Ovis aries: one gene and its partner. The main gene of each other region encodes a partner of the protein of the gene in region 2 in a complex. Links are inferred from orthologs where the notes say so. Each region holds a gene or a part of one and is shown on either strand. Other genes may lie near its edges.

What was found.
Region 1: the proteins of BCAP31 (region 2) and FIS1 are in contact, whole or in part, in a crystal structure (PDB 8XWX), measured with the Homo sapiens proteins. The link is inferred for Ovis aries from reciprocal best matches to the Homo sapiens genes BCAP31 and FIS1. Residues at the interface, in NP_001132913.1 of Homo sapiens: Asp224, Leu227, Glu228, Ala231, Lys232, Ala235; in NP_057152.2 of Homo sapiens: Arg52, Val56, Glu59, Glu60, Pro63, Lys64, Lys89.

What each region holds. Positions count from the first base shown.
Region 1 is NC_056077.1:35,887,671-35,902,099, forward strand, and holds FIS1 (mitochondrial fission 1 protein), read left to right. Parts: upstream 1-6,422; 5' UTR 6,423-6,485; coding exon 6,486-6,530; intron 6,531-7,410; coding exon 7,411-7,543; intron 7,544-8,802; coding exon 8,803-8,879; intron 8,880-9,315; coding exon 9,316-9,567; 3' UTR 9,568-9,749; coding exon of another isoform or gene 9,750-9,847; 3' UTR 9,848-10,060; downstream 10,061-14,429. Other genes in the region: CLDN15 (claudin-15), read left to right, coding at 12,132-12,348. UniProt on the Homo sapiens protein: Involved in the fragmentation of the mitochondrial network and its perinuclear clustering. Plays a minor role in the recruitment and association of the fission mediator dynamin-related protein 1 (DNM1L) to the mitochondrial surface and mitochondrial fission.
Region 2 is NC_056080.1:80,540,918-80,555,346, forward strand, and holds the start of BCAP31 (B-cell receptor-associated protein 31), read left to right. Parts: upstream 1-4,971; 5' UTR 4,972-5,186; exon of another isoform or gene 5,187-5,285; intron 5,286-5,486; exon of another isoform or gene 5,487-5,730; intron 5,731-5,835; 5' UTR 5,836-5,878; coding exon 5,879-5,970; intron 5,971-7,437; coding exon 7,438-7,538; intron 7,539-9,448; exon of another isoform or gene 9,449-9,551; intron 9,552-10,562; coding exon 10,563-10,710; intron 10,711-14,429. Other genes in the region: ABCD1 (ATP-binding cassette sub-family D member 1), read right to left, coding at 1-70, 3,263-4,177. UniProt on the Homo sapiens protein: Functions as a chaperone protein. Is one of the most abundant endoplasmic reticulum (ER) proteins.

The DNA of each region.
Region 1 (14,429 bases), on a different chromosome or scaffold from region 2:
GGTTGATTTCCTTTAGGATTGACCGGTTTGATCTCCTATTAACTTTTTAAAAATAATAGTGGAATTCTGTTTGGTGGGTGTTTGCTGAGAACTTCTCCTGGGCCGACCTGACAAGATGCTGTAAGGCAGAAGTCCGAAACAGGCTCCAATTTCTGGTGTCGTCAAAGGAGGGCCACTGCCACCAAGTACCAGTTCTAGGTTTTGGTTCCACCAGCAAAAAATGTCAGTTTCCTTTCTGCCCACTCACAGGACTGAATTTGAGAAGGTCATACTTTTTTGTTTTGTTTTTAATATGATCAGCCTACAATCCAGCTGACTGACTTTAGGACTATTTATTATTACATTGATGTAACATAATATTGATGTAACATCATTTAATAAAACCATTCCTTGGTGATTTAGTTGTTTGTTTACCTTCAGAGATATGCAGGAATGAATTTCTTCATGCCTTTTCTTTCCTTGCTTTTCTTTTCTTTTTGGCTTTTGTTGAATACTTTTTCCCCCACAGAAGTAGATTACTAGTCAAATAATATAGCTCTTACTATATATTGGCTGGTTTCTTTTCCAAAAAGTTAATCATAGCAACTGCAATAACCATTTATGCAACAATAATTAGTACAAATTGAGTATCTACTGGTAGAGGCTCTGAGCTCTGTGGACATAAGATGAGCAAAGCAGACAGACCCTTCCCTCCTGTAGCTTCCAGTCTAATACAGGAGGGTGGCATTCATCAGCAAATCACACAAGTGTATAATTAGAAAGTAATACATCAGTTCAGTTCAGTCCAGTCGTTCAGTCGTGTCCGACTCTGCGACCTCATGAATCGCAGCACACCAGGCCTCCCTGTCCATCACCAACTCCCGGAGTTTACCCAAACTCATGTCCATCAAATCAGTGATGCCATCCAGCCATCTCATCCTCATCCTCTTTCGTCTGCTTCTCCTCCTGCCCCCAATCCCTCCCAGCATCAGGGTCTTTTCCAATGAGTCAACTCTTCGCATGAGGTGGCCAAAGTATTGGAGTTTCAGCTTCACCATCAGTCCTTCCAATGAACACCCAGGACTGATCTCCTTTAGGATGGACTGGCTGGATCTCCTTGCAGTCCAAGGGACTCTCAAGAGTCTTCTCCAACACCACAGTTCAAAAGAATCAATTCTTCAGTGCTCAGCTTTCTTCACAGTCCAACTCTCACATCCATACATGACCACTGGAAAAACCATAGCCTTGGCTAGATGGACCTTTGTTGGCAAAGTAATGTCTCTGCTTTTGAATATGCTATCTAGGTTTGTCATAACTTTCCTTCCAAGGAGTAAGCATCTTTTAATTTCATGGCTGCAATCCCCATCTGCAGTGATTTTGGAGGCCCCCAAAATAAAGTCTGACACTGTTTCCCATCTATTTCCCATGAAGTGATGGGACCAGATGCCATGATCTTTGTTTTCTGAATGTTGAGCTTTAAGCCAACTTTTTCACTCTCCTCTTTCACTTTCATCAAGAGGCTTTCTAGTTCCTCTTCACTTTCTGCCGTAAGGGTGGTGTCATCTGCATATCTGAGGTTATTGATATTTCTCGGCAGTCTTGAATCCAGCTTGTGCTTCTTCCAGCTCAGCGTTTCTCATGAGGGGAAACATAAAGTAACACATACTGTGAACTAAAAACACAAGCCACTTGCCAAGAGACAGAAGTCAGTTATACAACAATCGCAGGGGCATTGTTGGTGGTTTGGGGGGTTTTGTTTTTAATTTTACTGTATTTTACTAAAAAAGGGGGAGGGAGGTTATTGCTGTTGCTTTGCCTGTTTTCATTCTGAATTAATCTGAATTGTTCCTTCCTCATTCATCTGCTGCTTAAGGGAAGTCCTCTACCGTGCGAAACAAAAAACAAAAAAAATGAAAAATTTACACTTAAATTTTTTAAAGATAAAAACTGGAGCATACTTACAAAGTCATCATATCCTGTCTGTCTGTTTATTCTTTAACTGACTCCTCGTCTCTGATGCTGAAGCAGGACTTAGGTTTAAATCCCAGCTCCTCCACTTCTAGCTCTGTGACCTAGGGGAGATGAATTAAGCTTTTTGAGTCTCAGTTTCCTCATAGATCAAACAGAACTCTTACCTTCCTGGTGTCATTTTGGACCACAGGTCACATGTGAGCCTTCCTTTATCTGGGGAAGAAAAGAGAATAGCAGAATAGTCTTTGGCTCCTGGAAGATGTTATTACCATACCCAAACCAAAACTCGTGTGGTTCACAAAAACACAGGGCTAACTAAGAAAAGAATGAGCGGGTTTCAGTCTTATATTCTGAAAATGCAGGATGGGTAGTGCTCAGCCTCTCAACAGGAGCCCTCCTAATCTGGATGCCAGGGAAGGCCTTCCCTAAGGAGGAGTCTTAGAGCTTAGAACTGACGTCAGTAGGAATTCACCAGGTCAGTCAGGGCACAAACCTATGTGTCATCCTACCCTCCTCTCTCACATCCAGTCCATCAGCAGTTCTTGCTGACCACACCTTCTGACCACATATCCTGAATGCCTTCACCTCCACTGCTGCCGCTATAGACCAGGTCACCACTGTCTCTTGCCTGGGCCACCCCAGTAGCCACCGGAGGGATTGCTCTATGCTAGATCATTTCACTCTGCTGCCCAAAACCCTCCAATGACTTCCCATCACTGGTCACATTAAGTCCAGTTTCCTTACCATAGTCTACAAGGACCCCCACGATCTGCCCCTGGCTACCTCTCTGCCCTCATTTTCTAAACCACTCTTATGTGTTCCTTCCTTAAGGCTTTGGCTCTTGCCGTTTCATCTCCCTGGAATGTTCTCCCCATTCACCTGCACGGCTACTTCAGTTCTCTCTCCAGGTGTCACTTCTCCACGGTGGGCTTCTTTGAGCTCTCCTCCACCAGCATCCTCTTCTCTGACAGTCCCTTTCCCCTGCTTTTCTTGTTTTCACAGCACCCTGCCATTATTGTGTTTCTAGTTATTTACTTGTTTGATTATTTTTTCTGTTTTCCCCACTAAAATGCAAGTTCTCTGAGAACAGGAACTTTATTCAGTGCTGATCCCAAATACTTAAACAGTGCCTGGCACGTAACAGGTGTTCAATAAGTATCTGTTGAGTGAACTAACTCATAGATGAATGAATGAGTCATATAAGCAAAGCGGGGGGCATTTCACGGCGGAGGGGAGATGTTCTAGATAGCAAGGACTGCATGTACAGAGGGCCTGTGGCCACTAGGGGTTGCAGAACTGAAAGGAGGCCTGTGGGGTTAGTGTACAGACAGGGAGAGGCAGTGAAGGAGAGATGACGCAGAGCAGGAGCCAGACCAGACTAGAGAGAACCTTCTGGGCTTTGCTGCAAGGTTTTGGCCTTTGTTCTAACAGCAGTGAGAAGCTATTAAAGGGTTTCAGATAAACTGAGAATTGTATTTTTATAAGGTCTCTCTGCCTACTCCAAAGTGACAATAGTTTGCATTTGGATGCTATTGAAAAAGATCAGTTCTGTAGCTTAGTCATGTCCCACTCTTTGTGACCCCATGGACTGCAGCATGTCAGGCTTCCCTGTCCATCACCAACTCCCAGAGCTTACTCAAACTCCTGTCCATCGAATCAGTGATGCCATCCAACCATCTCATCCTCTTTCATCCCCTTCTCCTCCTGCTTTCAATCTTTCCCAGCATCAGGGTCTTTTCCAATGAGTCAGTTCTTCGCATCAGGTGGCCAGAGTACTGGAGCTTCAGCTTCAGCATCAGTCCTTCCAATGAATATTCAGGACTATTTTCCTTTAGGACTGACTGGTTCGATTTCTTTGCAGTCCAGGAAAATCTCAAGAGTTTTCTCCAACACCACAGTTCAAAAACATCAATTCTTCAGCGCTCAGCTTTCTTTATAGTCATAACGCTCACATCCATACATGACTACTGGAAAAACCATAGCTTTGACTAGACGGACCTTTGTTGGTAATGTCTCTGCTTTTTAATATGCTGTCTAGGTTGGTTATAGCTTTTCTTTCAAGAAGCAAACATCTTTTAATTTCATGGCTGCAGTCACCATCCACAGTGATTTTGGAGCCCCTCAAAAATAAAGTCTCTCACTGTTTCCCCATCTATTTGCCATGAAGTGATGGGACTGGATGCCGTGATCTTCATTTTCTGAATGTTGAGTTTTAAGCCAAGCTTTTCACTCTCCTCTTTCACTTTCATCAGGAGGCTCTTTAGTTTTTTGCTTTCTGCCATAAGGGTGGTGTTATCCGCATATCTGAGGTTACTGATATTTCTCCCAGCAATCTTGATTCCAGCTTGTGCTTTATCCAGCCCGGCATTTCGCATGATGTACTCTGCCTGTAAGTTAAATAAGCAGAGTGACATTATACAGCCTTGATGTACTCCTTTCCTGATTTGGAACCAGTCTGTTGTTCCATGTCCAGTTCTAACTGTTGCTTCTTGACCTACAGGAGGCAGGTCAGGTGGTATTCCTGGTATTCCTGTCTCTTTTAAGAATTTTCCACGGTTTGTTGTGATCCACACAGTCCAAGGCTTTGGCATAGTCAATAAAGCAGATGTTTTTGAAAAAGACGGAGAAACGTAATTTGGAAGTAAAATGAACAGGCACTACTTCTTATCCCTATAATCCAGGGTGGATGGCTGTGCTTACTGGACCCAAGGAACAAACTTAAGATCTCTTCATTGGCACAGAATCGAGCCATGTAACACATTCTTTTCCCCCCCACAAATTACATTTAACAAACCCTGATGGAGTTTTTGCCATGTGCCAGGCCTGTGCCAAGAGCTACAACAGATGCAAACATGGATGAGGGGTAGCAGGCCACCTGAGGAAAGTAACATCCTGATAGAAATAGTGGACTTTTGCCTTTCTTAAATTCCCTGCCTTCAAAGGAAGGTAAGTTCTACTTGCCCTTAGTGTTCAGCCCTGTTTTCACTCATCTGCTTCATATTATGTACACCTTTTTACCCTCTCTGCTTACCCCAATGCCCAGCCAAACTTAGGCACCCACTACATCTTTGAAGGAACGTAAATTTTTCTCCTTGACTATTATGGAGCCAGTTCCCTAAATTGAGGTTTCTCTTAAACTTTACTGAGCTCATATCAACTGTCCAAGCCAAACAGAAAAGAATAACTCCCTACTTTAACTCACAAGGCTATGAGGAAAAAAAGATTCAAGGGGCTTTGCAAATGTGAAGGGTGTTTGTTTGGATGCTAACCCCCTGCATTTGCACTGCGGTCATTACTATTATTTCCTGACAATTCAAGAAATATTTCTTGAACATTTCATTTTCCTTGTGCTCAGAGCTAGAGATGGACAGATAAACAAGATACAGTTTCTGCCCTCGGGGAACTTACATTCACAGGTGTGCTGGAGTACTGTGGGTCAAGGTAAAGAGAATTTGAGAGTCACTTAGCTTCCCTGGTGGCTCAGATGGTAAAGCGTCTGCCTGCAATGCAGGAGACCTGGATTCGATCCCTGGGTTGGGAAGATCTCCTGGAGAAGGAAATGGCAACCCACTCTAGTATTCTTGCCTGGAGAATCCCACGGACGGAGGAGCATGGTAGGCTACAGTCCATGGGGTTGCAAAGAGTTAGAGGCGACTGAGCTACCCTCATGACCTACGCTTCACTGCACAGAACACAGATGCCAGAGCAGCATGCAGCATTTCCCCTTTCCATGTTTTTTTGCTTCTCACTTCCAAGCTCCTTAATGCCCATGACCCCACATGAATGGCCTTTCCCCCTTTAGTACACCCAGAGGATGCTTTATTAAATAATATTTAAAATATTGGACCTTCTGTGCAAGCAGAGGCAACAGCTTTTCTTTAAACTCCCATTAATAGCATCCCCCATTAGTATGTATTCCAGTCTCTGGTTTACGTTTGACAGATCTAGTTTTCTTTGCTCTTGCATTATAAGTCCGCCCGGGCCCTGGAAACCCTGGTACTAGTTATGATTTTCTTGCAGGCACTAAAAAGTCACGTAGCCCCTAGGGTCCTAGATATCTGGGAGCAGGGAGTTGGGGCAGGGGGGAGGGAGGAAGAGAGAGGGTTAGACTAGATCTTAAAATTACGGGATCCATGCCCAGATCCCCACCTTCTCTTTACGCTGTTTTCAGTCTGGGGGCTAACCATCAAGACACCGTCTCGTACTTCACTCAGGGAGCCTCTGTAGACGGAGGCACTTGCAGGGTACCCAGGAAGACCAGCTTTAGGACTGGCCAGGCGCCGTGCGCGGCCTGCGGGCTCTGGTGAGGGAGAGGGACCAGTTGCAGCGTGCGCATCAGTGAGACCATCTGCGCGCCGCGGCGGCGGTAGGCGGAGGCGGGTTCGGCGGCGGCTACGGGAAGCGATTGGCTCTGCGTAGGGGAGGGCGGTCCCGCTTCCGCCGGACACCGGAAGTGACTCTCCGCCCCTGTCAGTGGGCCATGGAGAAAGTGGCAGTGTAGCGTCCGAGTTGTGAGGACTGCGGGGCCGGCGGCCATGGAGGCCGTGCTGAACGAGTTGGTGTCTGTGGAGGACCTGCTGGTGAGGCCCGGCTCCGAGGGAGGGAAAAGGAAGATTCGGAGGGGCGGGCCCTGAGGAGAGTCGGGTAGGGGCCAAACTCTCCTCCCAGCATCAGTTTTGCCTAGAGAAGCCGAACTACGGCTCCCGGCAGCCCCAGCAGCGTTCGGCTCTTGCCCAGAGGGTCCACTTTGCCCCAGAGCCTAGTGGGAGTTGTAGTTTCCTGTGCCACCACGCCTCAGACTCGGGGCCTGGAGTCTGACGGGTGCTAGGTTCTCCCAGAAGCTCGAGGTCAGGATGCGGGCACTTGATTTTAAGTGCTCCTTCAGTGGCGGGGGAACACAGCGACCACCGTAAAGTTTCACATAGTACTCGATCCGGCACAGCGCTAAGTCCCTTGTAGGGGATGTCTCAATCTTTGTAGCTCTAACAGGAAGTAGGCAGGTTTATTACGGTTTTTTCCTTCAGATAAGATAGGGTCCAGACTAGGCAGGGTGGGGCTGAGAGAAGCAGTCTCCGACGAGGGGCCGCGTGGGCTGGACTGTTGTTGAGCTATTCTGACAGCCTGTTGTTTACTGTTCAGGCCAGCCTCCCGGGGTCAGCTGCTCCGGGAGCGGTGCCTGGGGCCGCCACCAGGTGGCATCTCCACTCGGCACCACTAGGGGGAGGGAAGCAGAGAGGGGAGGTCCAAGGAGACAAAGGAGACGACCCGGCACTAAGAAGCAGAATGCCTGGGTCCCAGAGATGAAGATTGCAGGACCTGGGGTACCCCATGGTCGGGTACCCCAAGACCCGAACGGGGGTTGTGGCAAGGGAGAAGATGGGTAACAGGGACACCCAGGTCCTGCTAGAGTTCAGCTTGCCCCCTTCACTTCTAAATGACTCCTCTCCTCTCCTGTGGCAGAAATTTGAAAGGAAATTTAAGTCTGAGAAGGCAGCAGGCTCGGTGTCCAAGAGCACGCAGTTTGAATATGCCTGGTGCCTGGTGCGAAGCAAGTACAACGACGACATCCGTAAAGGCCTTGCTCTGCTGGAGGGTGAGGTGCTAGGCTGACTCCCCAACTCTCCCCTTCCCAACTTGCCATCGTCGTCCTCTGCCACCATTGGCCTGGTTTGCTCCCTCCATCTCCAGTGTGGGGATCCTTTCAACATGGGATCTCAGCGTTCAGTTATCTTCCAGTAAACTCACTGCAGGAAAGGGCTGCACTTAGTCTGACTTCTCCCAGTGTGCTTTTGGCTACTTGCTACCTCATTGGTGTTTTGCCAGACAGTCATAGCATGTCAGTCCCCGTGGGACTTTGGTGATCTGGTCATCTAGACAGAAGGAAAGGGACTGGTCTCAGGTCAGACAGCTGCTTAATTAATGGCTGAATTGGGAACAGAAGCTCCTGTCTTCATGTGCCCCAGTCGTGTTGTCTTTGCCCCCTCACCTCACCTTATTGGTTATTTAGCAGCTATTGTTGAAAACCTTTGGGGCGAGTCACGTAAAAGTCCAGAAGACCATCCTCAAAACCTGTGAGCAGATGGTGGTTTTTTTTTTAATCAAAATACTGTTTCCTGTTAACTTTGGATAGGTCAGCATTTGTCAGAGGCCACAATACTTGACCTTTAAATTTCTCTGTACCCCTTTTCTCTTGGTCAAGTAATGGTGTATAAACAATCACTAAACTAGCCAAAGATACCTATTGTAAATCCATAAAAGTAAGAATCTTCCTGAATGCAAATCATCTCAGCCTCCAGTTCCTAAGAAATAGGACACAGCTGCAGAAGTGGTCTCTAAACATTGCCATTCTAGTTGACAGACGCTTGGGAAGCTGTATAAACACCTGCCCACTTAGCAACAAATTCTAGTACACAGAGTACAGCTGAACGCGTAACCTTATGGGAAGTCACTGAACTTAGAAAGTTAGATGGGATCTTTCAGGGAGGGGTAGTTGAAGGCAAGTTTGGAGCTGTTTTTTTAAAAAGAGAAGGAGTGAAAACTTATTTTGAACACTACTCTGGGCAGCAAGCAACTGGAGTAGAGATGCCTTTGGCTTGTCCACTGCCCTGATTTGCTTTTAGTTCACTTGGATGAACCAGAGTTGACTGGAGTGTTGATATGGGGGCTGCGTACACCTCAGTGTTGGCTGGGGTTCATGCTGCCCCACGGCTCTGGGTAGGAAGCCCAGAGTGACTGGAGCTGAAGTGGAGGCTCAGGACAGTGAATTTAGGGAGTGAAGGGGGTGTCTGGGACACAGGCACTAAGAAAGAAGAGAAGGGGTTTTCACCCTTTTCCTTCCTCCCTACTCCCCAGAGCTGCTGCCCAAAGGGAGCAAAGAGGAGCAGCGGGATTATGTCTTCTACCTGGCCGTGGGGAACTACAGGCTCAAGGTAAAGCAGAGCACTTCCTTCTCCCCCTCCACCCTGCCTGGGTGGTCAAGCACTCATCTCTCTCCTCCAGGGTAGAGCCCAGGCCAGAGAGGGCAGTAGGCAGGGGGTGGTGTTGGGTACAGAGGTGCAAGGTGAAAGCAGGCCAAGATACTAAGGGAAGGCGAGAGACGGAGGATCTGGGTGCCGAGGGTGTGGGGAGCAAAGTGATGTCAGCACTGGGGTGCAGCCCCAAGCCTTGGGCTGTTATCTCCTTCAGCTTATCACCCCCACACAGTTGGGGTGGTTTGTGGACTCTACTCCTCTAGGTGGGGCTGGAGCAAGGGAGGGGGTGCAGGGAGAGGGAGGAGCCCCAGGGCCAGCGGAGAGAAGGCCCCTCTGATGGGCAGGCGGAGGGATGGAATTCTGAGGGGGTGTGTGTTGTTTTCCCTGAGTGCAGGAATATGAAAAGGCCCTGAAGTATGTGCGAGGGCTGCTGCAGACAGAGCCGCAGAACAACCAGGCCAAAGAACTGGAACGGCTCATTGACAAGGCCATGAAGAAAGGTGAAGGCCGTCCTCTCTGCCCCTCTGCCTCCCTCCACTCCCTGCCCTCATGTTTCCTTGGCCCCCAGCATCCCCGGGCCCCTCTCCACTCTCTTAACTCCTCTTCTGTCGCCCGTGCCTGGACCCTCTGGTCTCTCTTCAGATGATGCCCTCCAGGCAGTTCCTCCTCAAACCCTCTTCTTTCCCCGGCCCTGAGGGCCCCTCACACCAGGACTCCAGGGAGAGAGGCATGTCTTCTGCCAAGGAGCAGCAGGCCGTGAGGTGGTAGCCCAGGTCCCCGCAGGGACTGGGTTTGGCCTCGTGACAGTCTCCCTTTTCCTCTCCCCAGATGGACTAGTGGGCATGGCCATCGTTGGAGGCATGGCCCTGGGCGTGGCGGGACTGGCTGGACTCATCGGACTTGCTGTGTCCAAGTCCAAATCCTGAAGGAGGTGGCATCCCTGCGTCTGTGCAGGGACACGTGGGAGCCCGTGGAGGACACTGGAAGAGAGGCCCACCCCCCCGGCCGTCCCTTTCTTCTCCTGCACTGCATCCCTGTCCTCTGTGAACGTCACCCTCCTCTCCCCTGAGAGCTGTCACCTATCCCCAAATCATGTGCTTGGAGATGAGTGTAAATAAACCTGGACTTGGGCTTGGGAACCTCTTGTGTCCATGTTGAGAAAGGGGTGGGTTTGGTTGGGCCCAGGAGATCAGAAAATGGAATATATGGCTAAGCATACGGGGTCACACGTGTGCCCTTCCTGCTCTGCGCCCTCCTACGCCTACCCCGGAGGCTGCTGTGGGGTTCTCCTTTGTCCACCAAGCTGCCCAGACCCCACACCCTTCCTTCCTTCCCCCACCACTAGCCATGTCCTTGAGCAGTGGCAGGCAGCATAGGGATGTGGCCTTTGCATGGCCTTAGAATCCTGACAAAAAACTGACCAGAGGCGGGAAGGGCAGAGCTGAAGGGACAGGCAAGACTGATGTCTCCTCTGACCCACTCAGCTGCCTCTCAGCGTGGAGTTTTCCACACCAGGGAGGCCCCCACTCAGCTTCCTCCAAAACCTCCGCCCTTCCCTCCCTTTGTCCTGCGTCCTCCCCTTCCTCCTCCCTGTCCCTCTCCTTAAGGGAGGGGGGCCACCGGGGGCGGGGCAGGGGGGGTAGGAAATGGGCATTTGGCATGGACTTGGCAGAGGTCACGGAAGAGGTCAGGAACCCAGGACATCCCAGTTGCAGAAGGAAGGTTGGAACCCAGTCTCCACCCAGCCCACTTGGCCTCACACCCATTAGCCCGTGCCAGGCTCAGCCTGGGCCTGTCTTGCTTCACTTCATACCTCTCATTCTTTATCCCCACTGGGGGGACAGGGGAGGAGGCACCTGCAGGCAGCATGGAGGAGCCTGGCACAGGGAAGAGGATGGGGATTACACCTCAGCACAGTGATGTCCCGTGTGACTGCCTGGGTATAGAATGAGCCCCTTGGAACTGAGCCCCAGCCACGCTCGCCAGAAGGGAACCGGAGCTGTCCCAGCTGTGGGAAATGAGACCGTCTCTGCCAGGACAGGTGCTCAGTGTTGGCTTGGGGTGGGGACCCAGAGGTTTCTAATCTGTCATAATTAGTAGAGCCGGTGACGGTTCTGATAACTCTGAGCTGCTTAGATTATCAGAGGATCACGTCCTGGGCTTGTGATTTATCCCACTTAGGGCCCCTTTGGCAGCAAGATCAAGCTTTTTGCCGAGAGTCAAAGATCAACCCAACAAGGGGCGAAATTCAAGTTCAGGAAGTTGGAAGTTTGGAGAACAGCCCCTGGTGGCCTCAACCTGGGCCTTGGACACCCAGGGCATTCACCTGGTACTGAGCAGTTCATACTCGCAAGGAGCTTTGATATGAGGTCACAATTCTCAACATAACCTACGAAGTGAGGAGGAGCAGTTCAGTTCACAGAAGCAGAAACAAGCTCAAGGGGCTCCGACTTCATGCCCGTGGCGCGCTGGTCAAGGATAGGACCTGGTTGGAATCCTGGTTGGTTGGATTCCAAAGCCATGGGTTCCCCCAGATTTCCCATTCCCTCATTCAACCTTACTCTCCCTTGGAGACTCAACCCTGAGGTCTCTGAGTTTCTTGAACTGTTCTCACCAGCATTCAGAGGGTGGCTCAGCTGCCTTGATCCTTCCCCACCGAAAGGTGCAGGGGGCCTCTCTGTGTTCAGCCTCGGTCTCTTGCCTCAGCCGCTTCCTCTTTCCTTGCCCCTCTTACTCCATTCTCTGGCCCCCGACGAAAGCTGAGTCAGAAGCCAGCGCTTCCCCTTGGCTCCCAGTGCCTCCCATGGGAGCCCCTCCTTGGCGGCGCGTCCGTTAGTCACTCCCCGGTAAGTCCTCTCCCCCCACCCTCGAGGGGCGGGGAGCCCAGGGCAGCCCAGAGGCCAGGGGGGAGGGGGTGGACTTTTGGCCCGTTTCGTTTATTCCCTCCATCTCCTCGTCAACAGCTGCTGTGCGCGCTTGGCTCATTCCTCTGACGGACCTGCGGGGAAGCGAAGAGACCGGGGGAGAGGGCAGGAGACACACCGGAGACGGACCTGGGCCACGGAAGAGGCCGAGGCTGCAGCCTGCCTCCCTCTCTTTCCCTAGCCTGCCTGAACCACCCTCCTTGGCCAAAGCCCCCTCGGGTTCCCCCGGGGCCCAGCCCCTCCCCCTCTCTGGGGCCCTGGGCTCCCCCGGGGCCTGTGGCCCACCATGCCGGTGGCTATGGAGATCTTCGGCTTCTTCCTCACAGCTGTGGGGCTGCTGATGCTGGGGGTGACCCTGGCGCACAGCAGCTGGCGAGTGTCCACCGTGCATGGGAATGTCATCACTACCAACACCATCTTCGAGAACCTCTGGTACAGCTGTGCCACCGACTCCATGGGCGTCCACAACTGCTGGGAGTTCCCGTCCATGCTGGCCCTCTCCGGTACGGGCTGGGGAGAGCCGAAGGGAGCAGAGGGAGGCGGGAGGCTGGAGAGACCCCAGGGAGGGTGGGCGCTGCCTGTGGTTGGACCTTGGGCGCCATACAGCCCAGGGAAGCCAGATGCAGTGAGGAGACCTGCTTCCTGCAGCCAGGAGTGCTGGGGGCATCTCTCTGTCTGGAACTCCAGCAGAGGCCGCGCCACGTGGCCCCCTGCTCTAGCATGACCCTCTGTCTTTGTGGCTACAAGTGCCGGCACTGGGGCTAGAGTGCCAGCCCTGACACCTGCCCTGGACCTGCTCCGTGCCTCCTGATAAGATGAGCTTCATTTGACCCATCTGTTAAAACTCGGGTCAGAATAGCACTGGTTCACTGGGTGGTCGTGAGGATTATGTGAGATGAAATGTGCAGAAAACGTTAACACCAGGCTGGCGTCTACGCTCGCTCAATCAAATCCAGCACTTTAGTTTTGGGGTGAGAGTACTGGGGCTTGTGGGGTGAAGAGGAAACCCCACCTTGGATTCCTGGGGGTTGAGATACTTAGAAGTCTCAATAACTGCACCAGGCTTCCACTGGGGCATTGGTCTCACTGCCACGGCGAGCTCTAGAAGGCTGTTTTAAATGGAGACCTCTTGCACGTCTCAGTATGCACTGTAGTCAGGGATGTGTGTGCATATGTGTTTGGGGTTGTTGGTGGGCTGGAGCCTACAGCTCTTTTGGCTCCAAAAGGCCCTCCCTGGTTCCTGGAGCTCATGCTGTGAGCAGTACGCATCACTCCCCAACCCGTGGAGCCCTTCAGTCGGCCCGGCCCTCACCAGTGCGCTGCAGCTCCCGTGCCCTCACTGGGGGCTGCTGGAGCCATCATGCCCTTCCAGGGTCCCCAGCTGCAGGGGCCGGGTGGCAGGGGAAGGAGCTGAGGCCAGCATGCCAGGAAACTGCCTCCCCGAGTATCAGAGATGCTATGAGCTGCTAGGGAGTCTGGGTGGGTCTCCCCTGCCCCTACTATTCCCAGGGTCTCCTGAGGCAGCTACAGGGGCTTCATGCTCTCATCCCATCCAGGACCCGCCCTCCCCCCGCCAAAAAAAAGAACTTCTATGAAAGCTGAGTACAATCTGGGTCAGACACCAGGATCGGACGCCAGACTGGTGGGTGGGCAGGAGGGACATTGGCTGCAGCCACTCAGCAGCGTGGTGTGAGGAGGGGCCCCACTGGGACTGCTGCTCTCATGACTGCGCACAGAAGACAACGAAAGGCGGAGATGCAAGGGCGAGCGAGCCGGGCGGGGAGGGCAGAGAGCACGCAGCTGTCCAGGGATGGGCTGAGGCTCCCGGCATCATCAGTGCTTTGCGTGCACCATTTCAGTGCTGTTTACAGCCCCGCCATTGGCAGCATTAGTAACCTCATCTCAGGAGCAGGAAAACTGCATGGTGACCTGCCCTGAGCCACCCAGGTGGTTGGGGGGCTGGAATTCAGAGCCAGCCGATACTCCGTTCCCAGGCTAGTTCTGGTCCTGGGGGGGTCCTGTCACTTACTCACACCGCAGCCACGCAGCTGCTTATGGGCCCTTCAATAACGTCTCCTTATCTACAAGAGCTCCCTGGGGATCCGGAGCTGGTCTGCCCAGGTGGGGATGGGTGGGTGGGTGGATGGGTAAGTAGGGGGAGAGGCTGGGGGAACTCCAGAGGAAGTGACCGGAAAGGAGAAAATGCTCCCAGGGAACTTTGCCCCTCCTCCCTGCCCCCCAACTCTGGGCCACTTCACATCTTCCTGGCAGGGGCCCAGCCTTTCCCCTTCAACACGGGTGGCACTGCCCCACCCAGGGAAGGGGTGCAAGGTCCTTGGGAGTGCTTGGCAACTGTCGAAGACCTAGGAGGAGGAAGGGGGCCCAGAAAGGGAGCAGCCGTTTCCTTCCTTCGGCTCTGAGGAAGGAGCATATGAGCTAGGCTTGCCTCACACCCGTCCTAGGCCCAGGTATCCCACCTTCCAGATTAGAAGCTGCCACTGCTGCCCCCTATCGGTCACTCCGGGAAGAGGCTGGGTTCAGGATGTCAGGCACTGTGCAGGGCGATAAATGGGACCTCCCAGAT
Region 2 (14,429 bases):
GTTCCAGCAGAATAAGGTTGATCTGGGAAGCCAGGTCCTGGTAGGAGTGCTGCAGAAGGGCCAGCTCCACCTGTGGGGAAGGGGTGCCGGAGACCCAGAGGTGTGGCAGTCAGTCCCCCGGGGCAACAGCGAGCATCCCTGAGTGCCAGGCTACACAGGCCATGGCATTCAAAGGCCATGACGGGGCTGAGAGCTGGGGCTTAGGACTGGGCCATGCTTGATGAGTCAAAGCATTGTTTACCAGAATTGGCTTTGCTTAATGGCTCAGCCTACCTGGTCTAAATGCCATACCTCTTGCCACCTCCAGGCTGTGTGAGCTGGAGCAGGTCACTTTCCCTGTCTGGGTTACCATGGACGGGGGACAGGTCTCAAACTCAGGGGAGGTATGGCATAGACAATGCAGAGCTGGGGTACAACGGCAGTGAAGGGGCTCACCCCCTCATTTCTGAGGCTCCCACCCCTTTTCCACTGTCTCTTCAGTTGGGATGTTCACCGTGCCCCCTTTCTGCCCCAGAGAGTTTTTCAACACGGGCTGAGGGCAGCCACCTTGCCCATTTCTTTGAGCAACTGCGGAGGGGTCACCCTGAATGAAGCGGAGGGGAGTGCAGGAAACACAAAGGCAATAGCTGGTTTCAAAGAACGTGCTCCGGTCATCTCTACCTCCATAGGCCCTGGCCTCCCTTTCCTTTCCCACAGTTCCTCTGGGTGATAAACTTGCACTGTGTCCTCCCATTGTGATCGGCAGGGCACACTCCCAAGCAAGCTCGTTCAGGCATCACCCCCAGTGGACAGCCCCACACCCAAGCCAGCTGAGGACGCCAGCCCGCCAGCCAGGCCACGAGGGGACCTGCCCTGCTTGCTTGTGCACTGGCCACCACTTGCCATCTCAGGAGAGAGTGGGCGAGAAACAGGCTCTCTGGGACAGCAGCAGTTAGATGGGCTGGAGTGGCCAAGAAGCAGTCGCAGCAAGGTGGCCATTGGGTCCTGGATGGCTTGGTAGGGGCGCCTGCTCTGATCCTGTCTCCCTACCCAACGGACAAGAGCTGCCCAGCCTGGAATAGTTTCCTTTGCCAATTCACCATGTTATAGCTGACTCTTGACTTGATTCTCACCACGTCCCATTGTATGTGTATTCTCCTGTCTGTGGTAGCCCAGACAGGCAAAGTGACCTGCTCCAGTTCACACAGCCTGGAGGTGGCAAGACATATGGCATTTGGACCAGGTAGGCTGAGCCATTAAACAAAGCCAATTCTTGTGAACGATGCTTTGACTTATTAAGAAAGTCTACCCGTGCTCAGGCTAATAAGAGGTTGGATGTGTTGGTATGAGCCCGTGTAATAACCCTTCTGTGGAGAAGGAAATGGCAACCCACTCCAGTATGCCTGCCTGGAAAATCCCATGGATTGAGGAGCCTACCTACAGTCCATGGGGTCGCCAAGAGTTGGACACGACTGAGTAACTTCATTTCACTTTTCACTTTCATGCACTGGAGAAGGAAATGGCAACCCACTCCAGTATTCTTGCCTGGAGAATCCCAGGGACAGAGGAGCCTGGTAGGCTGCCATCTATGGGATCGCACAGAGTCGAATACAACTGAAGTGACTTAGCAGCAGCAGCAGCAGCAATAACCCTTCTCCTTGACATCCCAGGAATAGCAAAATACTCGGCGGTCTGCCCTCCAGTCAGCCAGCTACCTCTGCCCCAGCCTGCTGATCTGAGCCTGGGCCAGTGTCCATGGGGACATCAGCCAATGGGACTGGGCTGAGCCACGTGCCCGCACAGTGAGGGCAATCAAGCCACCCATGAAGGCCCATCACATCACACAGCCCTTTGCCCGAGGCCTTGACAGACAGGTTGGGGACGTACATCAGGCCCCTCCCACCCCAGCTGGTGAATCTGCCCCAAGTACATGCTATTTCCTGAAACTAACCCAGAGGAAATCCTTCAAAGAGCTAGTGATTCTCCCTTCTTCCCACCTCCCCTGTCCCCAGCTAGGTCTTGGGCATCGCTCTGCCGTTCCTGAAGTGAGCACGTCTACTCTGAGCGCCCTGGCGATCCAGGCTCGTGCTGGGAGCTGGCAAGAGTGCCAGCTGGGGCTGACAATGTAGCTGCGGGGAATGTGCCAAGTGCCTCACCCAGGGCCACGGCTGCCTGCCAAGACCCTGCGTCCCTGGAGCACAGGGGAGGAGGACGGGGGTTGCGGCTGCAGATCCGGCCCTTTTTCTCCTTATCTGGAGCCCAGCCGGGAATGCCCCTATCTGCTCAGGGATAAGTCTTAAAAAAAAAAAAAAATCAGGGACAAGCCTGCCTCCCTGCCTGATAAGATGGGCTGCCAATGAGACAAGGTCGAGGACACAAGGCCATCTGACCTAGGGAGGATCCATGGGCCTTCAGGAGCTGGATGCCATTGTACCCCTCCCCCAGAAGCACTGGGGAACCGAAACCAGAGTCGCAGAGAACCTAGCCGGAGGCAGCTGCAACCCAGGCAGGAGGAGGGGAGGGGCCGGAGCACTGGCCTGGAGTAACCTCTCCCAGGCCCCGGCTCCTGGCCCTAGCCGGCTGGCCGCTGACCCAGCCTGCTGGGGAGCTGCACGGCTGGGACCTGGGCGGAAGGGCGGCCACACTGGGGGCAAGGTGGCCGCTGGGAGGGCAGGAAGTGCGTCCTGCTGCAGTGGCGGCTTGGGCCCCGGCACCCCTGGCTGGGGCCTCGGGGAGGCAGCCAAGCCCGCAGCCAGGCCAGCCTTTGGGCTCCGGAGGGGGGAGAAGCTTGATCTGGAGCGCTGAGATCCGATCGACACACCGAGCACTGCTGCTTGTTAACCTCCGCTTGGGCTGAGTCATGCCCATAATGCCCACTTGCCCGGCCGGACGCCGGGCTTCAAAGGGCCTGGGGGAATAGGAGGGGGCCAGACAGCAGGCTGCATCCTGTCATCCCTGCCCCCAGATGGCAGGAGCCCCTTCTCTGTTGGCTGCAGGCAGGGGGCAGGCTGGGAGCTCTTGGGTCTCCCATCACTAGGGTCCACAGCCCTAAGGCCAGGACAAGGGAGGTGGAGAGGAAGCAGAAGTGACCCAGGACAGTCTCCACCCAGCCTTCCTGCTTCTCCATTTCTGTGCCGATCCGGGCTGCCCACGGCCCTGGTCGTCCACAGCCTCCCTCTCCCATGGCCAGCCCACACCTGTGCCATCAGCCATAGGCAGCCCCAGGCCTTCCTGCCCCGGACTCCCCCAGCCACGCGCTTTCCGGCCCCAGGAGCAGCCCCACCTCATGGCCCCCGTAGAAGGCAATCTCCTCTGAGTTGGCCACCACTCGGGAGTGCATGTAGCGCAGCTCTCCCTTGCGCCGCGCCTCCTCAGCCACCAGCTCCCCGAACTTGGGCGAGAAGGCTCGCAGCACATTGGCCGTGAGGAAGACCACGAGGCCAGCGATGGCCGAGGGCCAGGCTGTGCCAGCCCCGCGGGAGCGGGCTGCTCGAACCAGGGTGTAGGTGGTCACAGCCACGTCCAGGAGCGGCTTGGTCAGGTTGGAGTAGAGGTGGGCCACGGAGGCAGCGAAGGCCACCACGTCCTCCGTCAGGGACTGGTCTGGGTTGCGAAGCCGCCCGTCCATGTTGCTGACCCGGTAGTAGGTCTGCTGGGAGAAGTAGAGACTGTAGGCATGGGCCACCAGCCGGCTGCGGAATGCCAGGGCCAACTGGCCCTCCAGGTAGCGGATGGCACTGTTGATGAAGGTGGCAGGCAGTGCGATGAGCAGCCACTGCACGAGCTGCCAGCTGAAGGCCTGAGGGTCCTTGCGCACGATGCAGCGGGCCAGCCGGCCGTCCAGGCGGGCTACGTACACCGACAGGAAAGTCCGGCTCACCAGGGCGGCCGAGTGCAGCGCCAGCAGCCCCGTCTCCCGGCACAGGATCCTGGGGAATAGCAGCCGCAGGAGCCATAGGAGCCGCTGCAAGAACACCTGGTTGACACCGGCCTTGGCCGCTGAGGCCACGGGGGCACCGGAGACGTCTGGTGCGGGCTCCCCATCCACCGCCGGCGCTTGAGGGCCCCTGGCCGGAGCCAGGCACTGGCGCACCAGAGGGTAGAGTTTGTGGGCTCCATAGGCCATGAGGGCCAGGACCACGGCAGTACGCTTCAGCGTGGTCACCCGCGAGGCTCTGGGGGTAGAGAGCACCGTCATGTCACCTGGGCTGGACTCACGGGACCGGGACGGGTGCCTGAGGCGGCAGAGGAGGCAGGTGGCTGCAAGGGTGGTGGCTCTGACCCCGGGCTCGTTGTCTAGGCAACTGGAGACCTCGCAGTGGTCCCTGAGACTGTCGCTTTAGGCCACCCGGGTGGCGCTGGGGCCCCTGGCGCGGGTGGGCTCAGGGCCCTCCAGGGTCACGGCCTCTTCAGGCGGCCGAAGTGGAGGAACTTGTCAGTCCCTTGGCCCTTGGGGTCAGAGCCTCTAGAGGTCTCCGGCCGAGGGCGTCTTTTTCTCTCCACCTCCTACTCCTCCTCCCCTGGTAGCGCCCCTCCCTGGGATACCGGCCGCGTCCGTCCGCTCCACAGCCCGGCTGAAGCGACTGTGACTCCGCCACCCGCCCAGAATCCCCACCTACCCACCCACCCCTCCCCAGGGGCGAGTCGGGGGAGGGGGAGGAGGCGGAGGAGGGGCGGGAGGCGGAGCCCAGGCACGGGCCGCCCCACCCCGTTCTCGCCCCACGGTGGGGCCCCGCCCCCTCCCCGGACCACAGAGACGCCGGAGGACCGCGCGGGCTAGAGAAGCGGCACCTCGCCTTCCCGCCAAGGCCGGGGACCCGTCTCTCCGCGCGCGCGCGCGAGGCGTGGCTCCTTCCCCAGTCCCAGACGTCGGGAGCCTCGGTTCGGGGGCGGGGCCTCCGGGGCCTTGTGGCGGTTGGGGGCGGGCCGGGACTGGCCGGGCGCTTCCGGTTCCGGCCGCGGGGAAGGGGCGGGGCCGGGCTGGTGGTGGGAGAGTTTGGCGACGACTGGGCGTGCGTGGTGACTCTGGAGAACTCGGTGAGCGGACTCGCGCGCCGCGCTGGGCTTCCGGGCCGCCGAGGTCCCCCGGCTCCTCGACGAGGGGGCGCGGGGAGGCCCGGTGCGCGGGGCCAGGGCCGAGGCTAGAGTGCGGGGGCGGGACCGGGCGGAGGGAAGTCAGGCTGGCGGCGGGTGGAGCCATCTCCAGGGTAGGGGGCGACGTCGAAGTCCCTCCGGAGGAGCCGGCGGGGTGGGGCTTGAGAGGGCGTGCCGGGTCGGGGCCTCGTCGAGGGGTCTTCTGGAGCCGGGTAGGCGCCGCGACCGACCTGGGAGGCCGGGAGGGGTTTCTCCGGCTTTGGAGGAGACAGTCTTCTAGAACTTTCTCTGGACGGGGCCGTGAGGTGCTGGGTTGAGACCCGCTCTTGCCCTTGGCTCCAACTCTCGTCCTCTAGGAGTCGCTCTCGGGGGCTCTCGGAGATACTGAAAGCTGAGCCGAAGGGGCGGTGGTTGGGAGGCTTTTGCGTTCCGCTCCTGCCCTGGGAGGAGCTGCTCGCTACTCCTCTGTCGGCCCGGGTGGAAGGGCCCAGAGGCATCGCAGGTTGGGAGGAAGCGCAAAGGCATTACTAGGACCGAGGCTGCGGTGTGGTGGGCGGTAGCTTGAACTGCCGATTCCCACCCACTGCTGCCAGGGTTCCGCAGGCGGAGTCTCCCGGACTCCACGGGGAGGAATTGTTTGGAAAAGTGTCTCTGGAGGTATTGGCAGCCAGGCTGCGGGGCTCGAGGGCTGGGAATGCTCTGAGGTCTAGGGCTGGTGGCTGCCGAGCTGTCACGACGCCTGTTTGTTCTGTGCTCCATCAGGAACAGGCTCACATCATCCCGGTGGAAAGCTGCTAGCAACACGATGAGTCTGCAGTGGACCGCAGTCGCCACCTTCCTCTATGCAGAGGTCTTCGCTGTGCTGCTGCTCTGCATTCCCTTCATTTCTCCCAAAAGGTATGGGCAGGCAAGCCAGGAAGAGTCTCGGTAGCTTGTGCCTGCAGAGTTGGGGGGCCTTAGAGTTGAAGCCAGCCGGAAACAGGTAGAACCTGTCTGGGATGGGGGTGGCAAGGACTGTGTTTATTATCGCCAGCTAGGCCCACAGTTGTGCTCAGTCACATCTTGACTAGGTCCTTTCCCCTGCACCCTGTCTTCTGGTCTTCAGAGTGTGCCAGAGGGGACAAGACCAAGTGACCATTCTGGAAACGATGCCCTCCGGGTGTTTAGGAGATGGCATTGTGAGATCTGCAAGACTTGCCTCTGGGTCATGTTACCGTTGATTTGGTGACTTCTGTCCTCCTAACCAGTCTCGCTGGGGTTGCGAAGTGGCCTCATGAGCATTACTCAGCCTAGGAAGGCCGAAGCCATGTTTCTTTTCAGTGAACAGAGGACTTCTGAAAAGTTATTTTGAAATTCATCTTGATTACATATACTATAGGAACACATCTGATCTTAAGTTAGAACATTACAAATAAGACTTACAGATGTTTTCATAGAAGCTTCTTTTTAATGAAAAATCACAGGCTGCTGTTGTGATAGAAAGTGTACAGCACTGCTTAAGGAATGTTCTTTACAAAAGCTAGATCTGAATCACCTCATACAGTTCACAGGAAATGCAGAGACAGTGGCCCACTTGGAGCTGCTACATGGAAAGCTTTGCAGGACAAACAGCCTGGTTTCTGCAACAGTGAATTAGGGGAGAAATCAGAGAGCAAGGGAGGGGGGAGTTCGTAGAATAAGGCCTGGTGTGCTGTGATTCATGGGGTCGCAAAGAGTCGGACACGACTGAGCGACTGAACTGAAGGTACTTATTAACAGAATGCAAAATCAGAACCTTGTCAGGATTCAAACAGACCAATTGTTAAAAATAATTGCCTCAGTTGGACTTTGGAGTTCTGGCTCTGATGATGAGAGATTTTTCTTGATATTTTTGAGGCTTGACGGTGGCATTGCGATTGGTAGCCATTTCTGAAGGGTCTTCTTTGACGGAGCTGTATGCTGAAGTATTTATGGAGGGAAAGGTAGGGAGGTCTGGGGTCTGCTTCATGGTAATCGGGGGTGGTGGGAGTCTAGATGAGCCAAGATTGGGCACATGGGAAAACAGTTTAAAGAAATAATGTGGATTTGGCAAGCATTTTGATACTACAGAGGGGACGCTAAGTTTCGCATTTCTCTCCCCAGAGCCTACCAGTGTTTAAGACTTTTTCTAGAAATTTCTATACTTGGACAGGTGTCTTTTTTTTTTTCTTTTTAACACTGTTGAACAGATGTCATAAGTTGGAAAATTGCAAGCAGCTGAGGCTGAATCTGTATGAGATATTCAGTCTTTGAAGAAGAGTGCAAAACTGTATCTGTTTTCAGGGCCCTGGATCCCAGGTGTGTGTTCTTACTCTACTGACCTTAGCCTTTTTGTCTTTTTCACAGATGGCAGAAGATTTTCAAGTCCCGCCTTGTGGAGTTGGTAGTGACATATGGCAACACCTTCTTTGTGGTTCTCATTGTCATCCTTGTGCTACTGGTCATTGGTGAGTGAGTTGTGGCTGATGGTAGCTATCTGACTTAGACCTTTTGCCATGGCCTCTGCTACAAAGCCCTGTGCCATGTGCCATGTTCCATGATTAGAGTACAGCTTTGACTTCTCAGAGACAGACCATTTAGTGCGCCTGTCTTTCTCTTGGGGGAAGAAAAGCTCCCTTCATCCACAAAGACGTCAGCATCCCTGCTACTGACTGCTGGCAGGGTCTTTGCTTTGACCAGCAGCCTTTATGCCCCTGGTGCTGACCATCTTGTGTCTCAGGCAGCTCCTTGGGTCCTTCCAGAGCTGAAACCAAGAGAGGCTAATGGACCTGTCCTGACCTTGGTCTCAGTAGGCTGCAGGGTTTATGAACTGGGTGTGTGTGCTTTTGCTTTTAGGTGTGGGCTGGGGGTAAGAGTTGGGGTGGGGAGGGACCATGCTGGGGGGTGTTCACTTAGAGCTTTGCCCTTCTGCACACCAGATTCCACGAATTCTCCTGGTATGGCAGATTGGGTGGGAGAGGCCCTTTGCAGAAGGTGGTAGTTGGCAAAAGTGCCGTTTTTCTTTTTGAGGAGTCAGGGAACTGCCTGGATGTTCTAGAGCGACATCCTGCTATGATAAAAGGCTGCTTCGTATCCTAATGTAATCTGTAGAGGTCTGCCTAAATAAGTTGTTCAGTTCAGTCACTCAGTCGTGTCCGACTCTTTGCGACATGAATCGCAGCACACCAGGCCTCCCTGTCCATCACCAACTCCCGGAGTTTACTCAAACTCATGTCCATTGAGTCGGTGATGCCATCCAGCCATCTCATCCTCTGTCATCCCCTTCTCCTCCTGCCCCCAGTCCCTCCCAGCATCAGTGTCTTTTCCAATGAGTCAGAGTAAGTTGTTAGCTAGTAGCAAATGCTAGCGACATAGCATAACTAGCTAGAAGCTGCAGCCCTGGCTGGCCCCTAGCCATCCCTGGGAAGGGATCTAGGGCACATCTCACTGGGGGAGTGGGCTTAATGAGAGTTCAGGGTCAACTGCCGTGGGCTGGAGGCCTGAGATAGAGAGGGTAGCCCTCTGCTGTATGACTTGAGCTAGTTTGGCCCAATGCCCCGATCCCTGGTTGGCTCTTTGCCATTAGTCAAGGTGGACCTTGAGGTGCTGGGGTCTCTGGCTGCAGAAGACAGTGTGGGAAAACATGTTTTTTGTTTAAATCACAAAAATAGCACAGCTTTAGAAATTTGTGAATTTAACTTACAAAGTTAAAGGTTCCCATAAACCCATGTCTCACAGGTAACTATTTTAACAGTCTGTGTTATGTTTCCACAGTCATTTTCTGTGTTGGCCGTGTCCTCACATGGAGGAAGGGACAAGGGAGCCCTCTGGAGTCTATTTTATAACGGCACTAAACCCACTCATGAGGGCTTTGTGCTCATCTTCCAAAGGCCCTACTTCCTAGTATCATCTGGTTGAGAGTTAAGGTGCCCAAATGGGAATTTTGGGGGTCAGGAACCCACATGTGTGTATGCTGAGTCACTCAGTTCGGTTTGACTCTTTGCGACCCTGTGGACTGTAGTGTGCCAGGCTCCTCTGTCCATGGGATTTTCCAGGCAAGAATACTGGAGTGGGTTGCCATTTCCTCCTCCAGAGGATCTTTGCAACCCAGGAATCGAACATACATTTCCTGTGTCTCCTGCATTGGCAGGCAGATTCCTTACTGTTGAGCCACTTGGGAAGCCCACGGATGTAACACAAAGATACCAGTAAGTGGAGGTGTGTTTTTATGATGTAAAATCAGCCTAAAAAACAAGCAGTCTCATACCAGAAATTAAGAACCAGATAGTAGCCTTACATTGCCCCTCTCCCATGGGGATCCATTAAGAGCACTCTTTAGGTAGATCTTTACATAATGATTTAAAAAGATGTCTCAGATGTTCATTTCAGCAGCACATATCCTAAAATTGAAATGAGACAGATGATTAGCATGTCCCCTGCATAAGGATGGCAAACAAACTCATGAAGCATTCCATATTTTTTTTAAAGCACGTTGTAGGGGATACAGAAATAGAAGTAATGGACTTATATAATGTTACAAATCAGTGTACTTCAATTGAGAAAAAAGAGATAGCAGGGTTGAGGGAGAAAAGTAGTAGGTATGGGATCGTTCCATTTCTAGCCTGTAAACACACAGATGTGAGTATATATATATATATATATATATATGAGTGGCCAGTAATGGTTTTTTAGAGCAGAGGTTGTTCACTGTTCAGGTGTTTGTGCTCCCCCTGTAACAGCTTAGAACTCTGTTAGGCCTTAAGGATGTAATAGGAAAGGTTTCTGTTCTTGTGGCGCTGTAGTCTAATTTGGGGGACATGAACATTAATTTTAGGTGTGTGTATGACATTGATTAATGGGACTGGAAATGATTGCTTTATTTAAGCTGGCCACATGAAGTAGGTTCTACTGGAGGTGATTGATTATGTTATGGGCTTCTTTCTCCTACATTGAACATTGATGAGCATGAATTTTTTTTTTGTAAGCAGAATACACCAGTTTAAGTAACCAGTTATAAAGCTTAGACACTTAGAAATGAAAACCTTTGAATCTTTAGCAGGCATCCTCCAGGTCTTGACTCCTAGGCAGCTCATGCTTCCCTTGTGGGCATTTCCATAAACAGGACTCGCCTGGCTTATCAGTTGGGTGGCTGATGGCCAGCCCCGTTTGTGATAAACAGAACCAAACAGTGGGGGCACCGTGGCAAAGGGAGTTGCCCTGGTTGCCAGCGACATCTCAGATTCGGTGAGCTTCTTGACACGGAGAGCAAGCTTGTGGTCTGGGTAGAATGGGTCTAGAGGGTGACATGAGAAAAGCTGGAGGAGAGAACAGGTCGGAGGGCAGCACTTCTGATAAGGCATCCATCAAGATGTGTGTAGAAGGGGAAGAGCAGGGGAGATAGTTTTGAGGAAAGCGAGGCTGCCCAGACTCACGCCTTGCATCTCAGCTGGACTGATCCGGGGCTGAACACCTGTATCTCTGCTCTGCCACAGATGCTGTTCGTGAGATTCGAAAGTATGATGATGTGACAGAGAAGGTGAACCTCCAGAACAACCCTGGGGCTGTGGAGCACTTCCACATGAAGCTTTTCCGTGCCCAGAGGAACCTCTACATTGCTGGCTTTTCCTTGCTGCTGTCCTTGTGAGTGGGGAGGGGCGAGGGAGTGTGAAGGGACCTATGGGCTAGTCTGTGGCCTTGAATTGGAGGCCCTTTCTACGTTCGGGGAACCACACAGTTTCTCCAGAGGCAGCATTGAAGATGGGAGAGGGCTGACGGGAAGGTCAGAAGACCACGCTGTGGCTCTGCCATAGCCTGCCACATGTTCTTTTAGGGCATGTGTGCTACTGTCACCTTGCTCTCTGTACACAGAGTGAAGTAAGTGACGGGTGTTTTCCCTCCTCTGGAGAGGCCCTTTGGAGCCCAGCTTTAAAAGGGAACAACTGAATGGGGCCTTTTTGTGTATGGGGTCCAGTCCTGAGCAGAAAGGGCACAAAATGGGACTGAGACCAACCGTGTCCCCAGGGCCTTCCCTGGTGTAGACCTATCACACGAGCGTGAGACCTATTGGAACCTGAGGGCTGGCATGCTACCTCCTGTTCACAGGGGTTCTGATGGAGTGAGGGTTTGGCTATTCTCAAGTGTGCTTACCTGGCAGGGAATAAGACATTGTGCTCGGGACAAGGGTTTCCAGGAGTATTGGGGAAAACTTACTGTGAGGTTACTCAGAAGTAAGGTGAGTTTGTGGATTCTTGGGCTGGGCTGTCTTAATTCTAATCACCTGGACCTCCTTCTTCACTAGGCATTGGAATGACTGTCTTGGTTTCCCTTTTGCACACAAAAAAAGTCAGTTGCTCAGCTGAGCCTGGTGTCTCTGGGTCAGAGTTGGAAAGTGACAAGAGGTGGAGCTGGCAAGGGCTTTTCAGGGGGATACATCTAATCCCAGGAGTGATGTGCAGGCCTGCCGTGTTCTACCTTCCGAGAGTCAGGAACTGAGAGTGCTGGGAGGAGTTGGACACAGAGCCCAGGGTTTTAGGGTTTCAGGAAGCTCCAAAAAAGAAGTATGATCTTGTGGACTGAAACTGAAAGGGAAGCAGATCCGGGGGACTGAGTCTAACCGCAAGTGAGCCAGAGGGTAGGAAAAGAGAACTGGCTGTGTCTGAAGGACCACAGAGGCTTTTGGGGAGGATTTCATCTGGAAGTTAGGAAGGACAGAAAGAAACCTAAGGCTTGGACTGGAAGAGGATAGGGAGCCTTAAGAATAGTATTGATGGGAGTAGGAAATGGCAACCCACTCCAGTATTGTTGCCTGGAAAAGTCTATGGACGGAGGAGCCTGGCAGCCCATGGGGTTGCAAAGTCGACACAGCTGAGCATCTGAGCACAAACAAGGGCCCACCTTAATCCAGATTGAGCTCATCTCAAAATCCACAATCACATGTACAAAGATTGTTTTTCCAAATGAGGTCCTCTTTGTAGGTTCTGGAGGTTACAACTTGGGCATACCTTTGAGGCCGCTATTAAACCTGCCACAGTCTGGTAAGAGGAAAAAAAAAGAATAGTATTGAGAAGGCAAAAGCACTGGATTGGGAGCACTGTGAGGCCTGGGAAAAAGACAGTCCCCTCGGTGTTTCTGTGTAAAGTAAGGAAGTGGTGGATAGGGGGTCAGGGCAAAGGAAGCACTGGGATGAGAGAACTGAAATCCCAGATGGGCAAGGCGATACTGGAGTGCCCAGCTTCTCTGATTTAGTTTCCGCTTTCGCTAATGAAATGATGTCCAGAGGCTCTGGAGTTCATTTGCAGCTGGAATCGCCAGTCCTTGAGGAATTGCAGGGTAGGAAAGATTCTGTACGACGGCAGATGGGCAAGCATCCCAGTTTCCAAAGGAGGGAGATAGTAGGTGAGGAAACAGACTGGAGGGTCTGGTCTGACTTTGATGTCAAGCTGTGTTCCAGAAAGAACAGCTTATATGCTTTTGTTTATTTATTTTTAAAATATAAAATTTATTTTAATTGGAGGCTAATTACTTTACAATATTGTATTGGTTTTGCCATACATCAACATGAATCCGCCATGGGTGTACACGTGTTTCCCATTCTGAACCCCCTCCCACCTCCCTCCCCGTACCATCCCTCTGAAGAGAAAGGAATCATTGGCAACTATCGTGAATGCTTGGGGGATAGGTTCTGTCAGTCTTATCCCTGCCTTTGCCCATTTGGGGTGTGTGGATTTCTGCAAAAGGTTTGCCAGTCTCCAATTCAAGAAGATTCTTATGGACCAGGTGCTGAAGTGTGGGCAGGGTGCTGGCATAATAGTGTAGTTGGGTGGGGTCCTAAGTCCCAGGAGTGGCTGCTGTATGGGTCAGCTCCATCCAAATAGGGGTCTCAGGAGCTTGCACTCTGTTGCTGGCCTGCTCAGTGCTTCTCTGCTGAGGACATTTGTTATGGCGAGCAGGTGCAGGGAGAAATGGAAGTGGGAGGAGTTGAACAACAGGTATATAAGCTGCTACTCAGAACCCATGGCCATCTAGACAGGTTTGCTGATGGGGCCAACTTAGACTTGAGTTTTTAACGGGGTTACGTTTGCAGACGTGTGTAGGTTCATAAAGGGCAGTGGAGACGAGGACCTCAGACTTGGGCTTGTGCCTTACTGCAGCTTAGTAGGAGTTCGTGGCAGAGCTACTGCAGAAGCTCATGAGCTGTTAGTCCTCTCCAGTGAGGGCTGGAGGCACCAGCCTTGCTTGGCTCAGTGTCAGCCAGTGCTGCCTGGAGGGTTGCAGTTGGGGTCCCACCTTTAAAGAGATGCTGGCAAAGCTCAGGTGGTGAATTTAGAAGTAGTCACAGTGCTGGTGGGTGGAATGGTGTTCGTTCCTCACGTACTGTAGTTTTGAAGTCTGACTCTCCTGACTGCTCTGCTTTTGTGATTTCTTCCAGAAGAATGCCTCCAGGGCAGGTATTATCTGAGTGGGCCAGGGGACAGTGGGTAGCCAGGTATATCAGATGAGTGAGTGTGTGGTCAGCTCAGTCCTCTGCGACACCATGAAGTTAGGCATTCCAGCTTAATTCCTGCAGTTGACTTAAAAAAACTGGCATAAAGCACAAGTCAGCATCTAGTTCTAGCTTGACCAGTGCAGAGAACACCACCACAGTCAGGGTGCAGAGCAGTTGGCAGTCTCCTTTCGAACCCAAGACAGGTGAATTTAAAGAAGAGCAGTCGTCGTCTATATCTCTGCCTTTTCCTAAGGGGGTCGTGGAGTCTACGAGAGGAGAGTGAGATCTGGACCGCTGGTCCAGTACGCTCTGTTCTCTCAGCTGCTTCCCCCACTGTGCTGTGACCTCTCCATCTGACAAGCATGTGAGGAAGGTTTCAGCAAATTCCCTTTAAAATGTGTCAGACAGTAGCTTCTTGGGCCTGGTTGTTCCCGCAGCTCCCCATCTGTTCGTTGTCTGTCTTGGCTGAAAGAGGCTTTGCTGTACCTGCCACACTCTTCTGGATCCCTGTCCAGTAGCTGATCAAAAAAAAAAAAAAGATGTAAAGTTCTTGTGTGACTTTTTAGAAAAGGAAAGTGACCCCAAGGATTGGTGTGGATTCACTAGTTGTCCACAGATGATCTGTTTAGTTTCTAGAATTTTCCAAGATGATATACTCCTCCCTCGTCTAGGGGTCAGACCCTATATGATGGCTGTGACCTTTGAGGAACTTCTCTCTTTGCATGACATTAGCTATAGAACTGTTATTGTCCAAATACACAGCTCACAGGCAGCTTGCAGGAAACGCTTTAAGAACACAACTATCACCTTTGTTACTCTGATTGCAGAAGTTATCCCTACTCTGTAAAAATAAACAAAGCCCCCCAAACTTCAA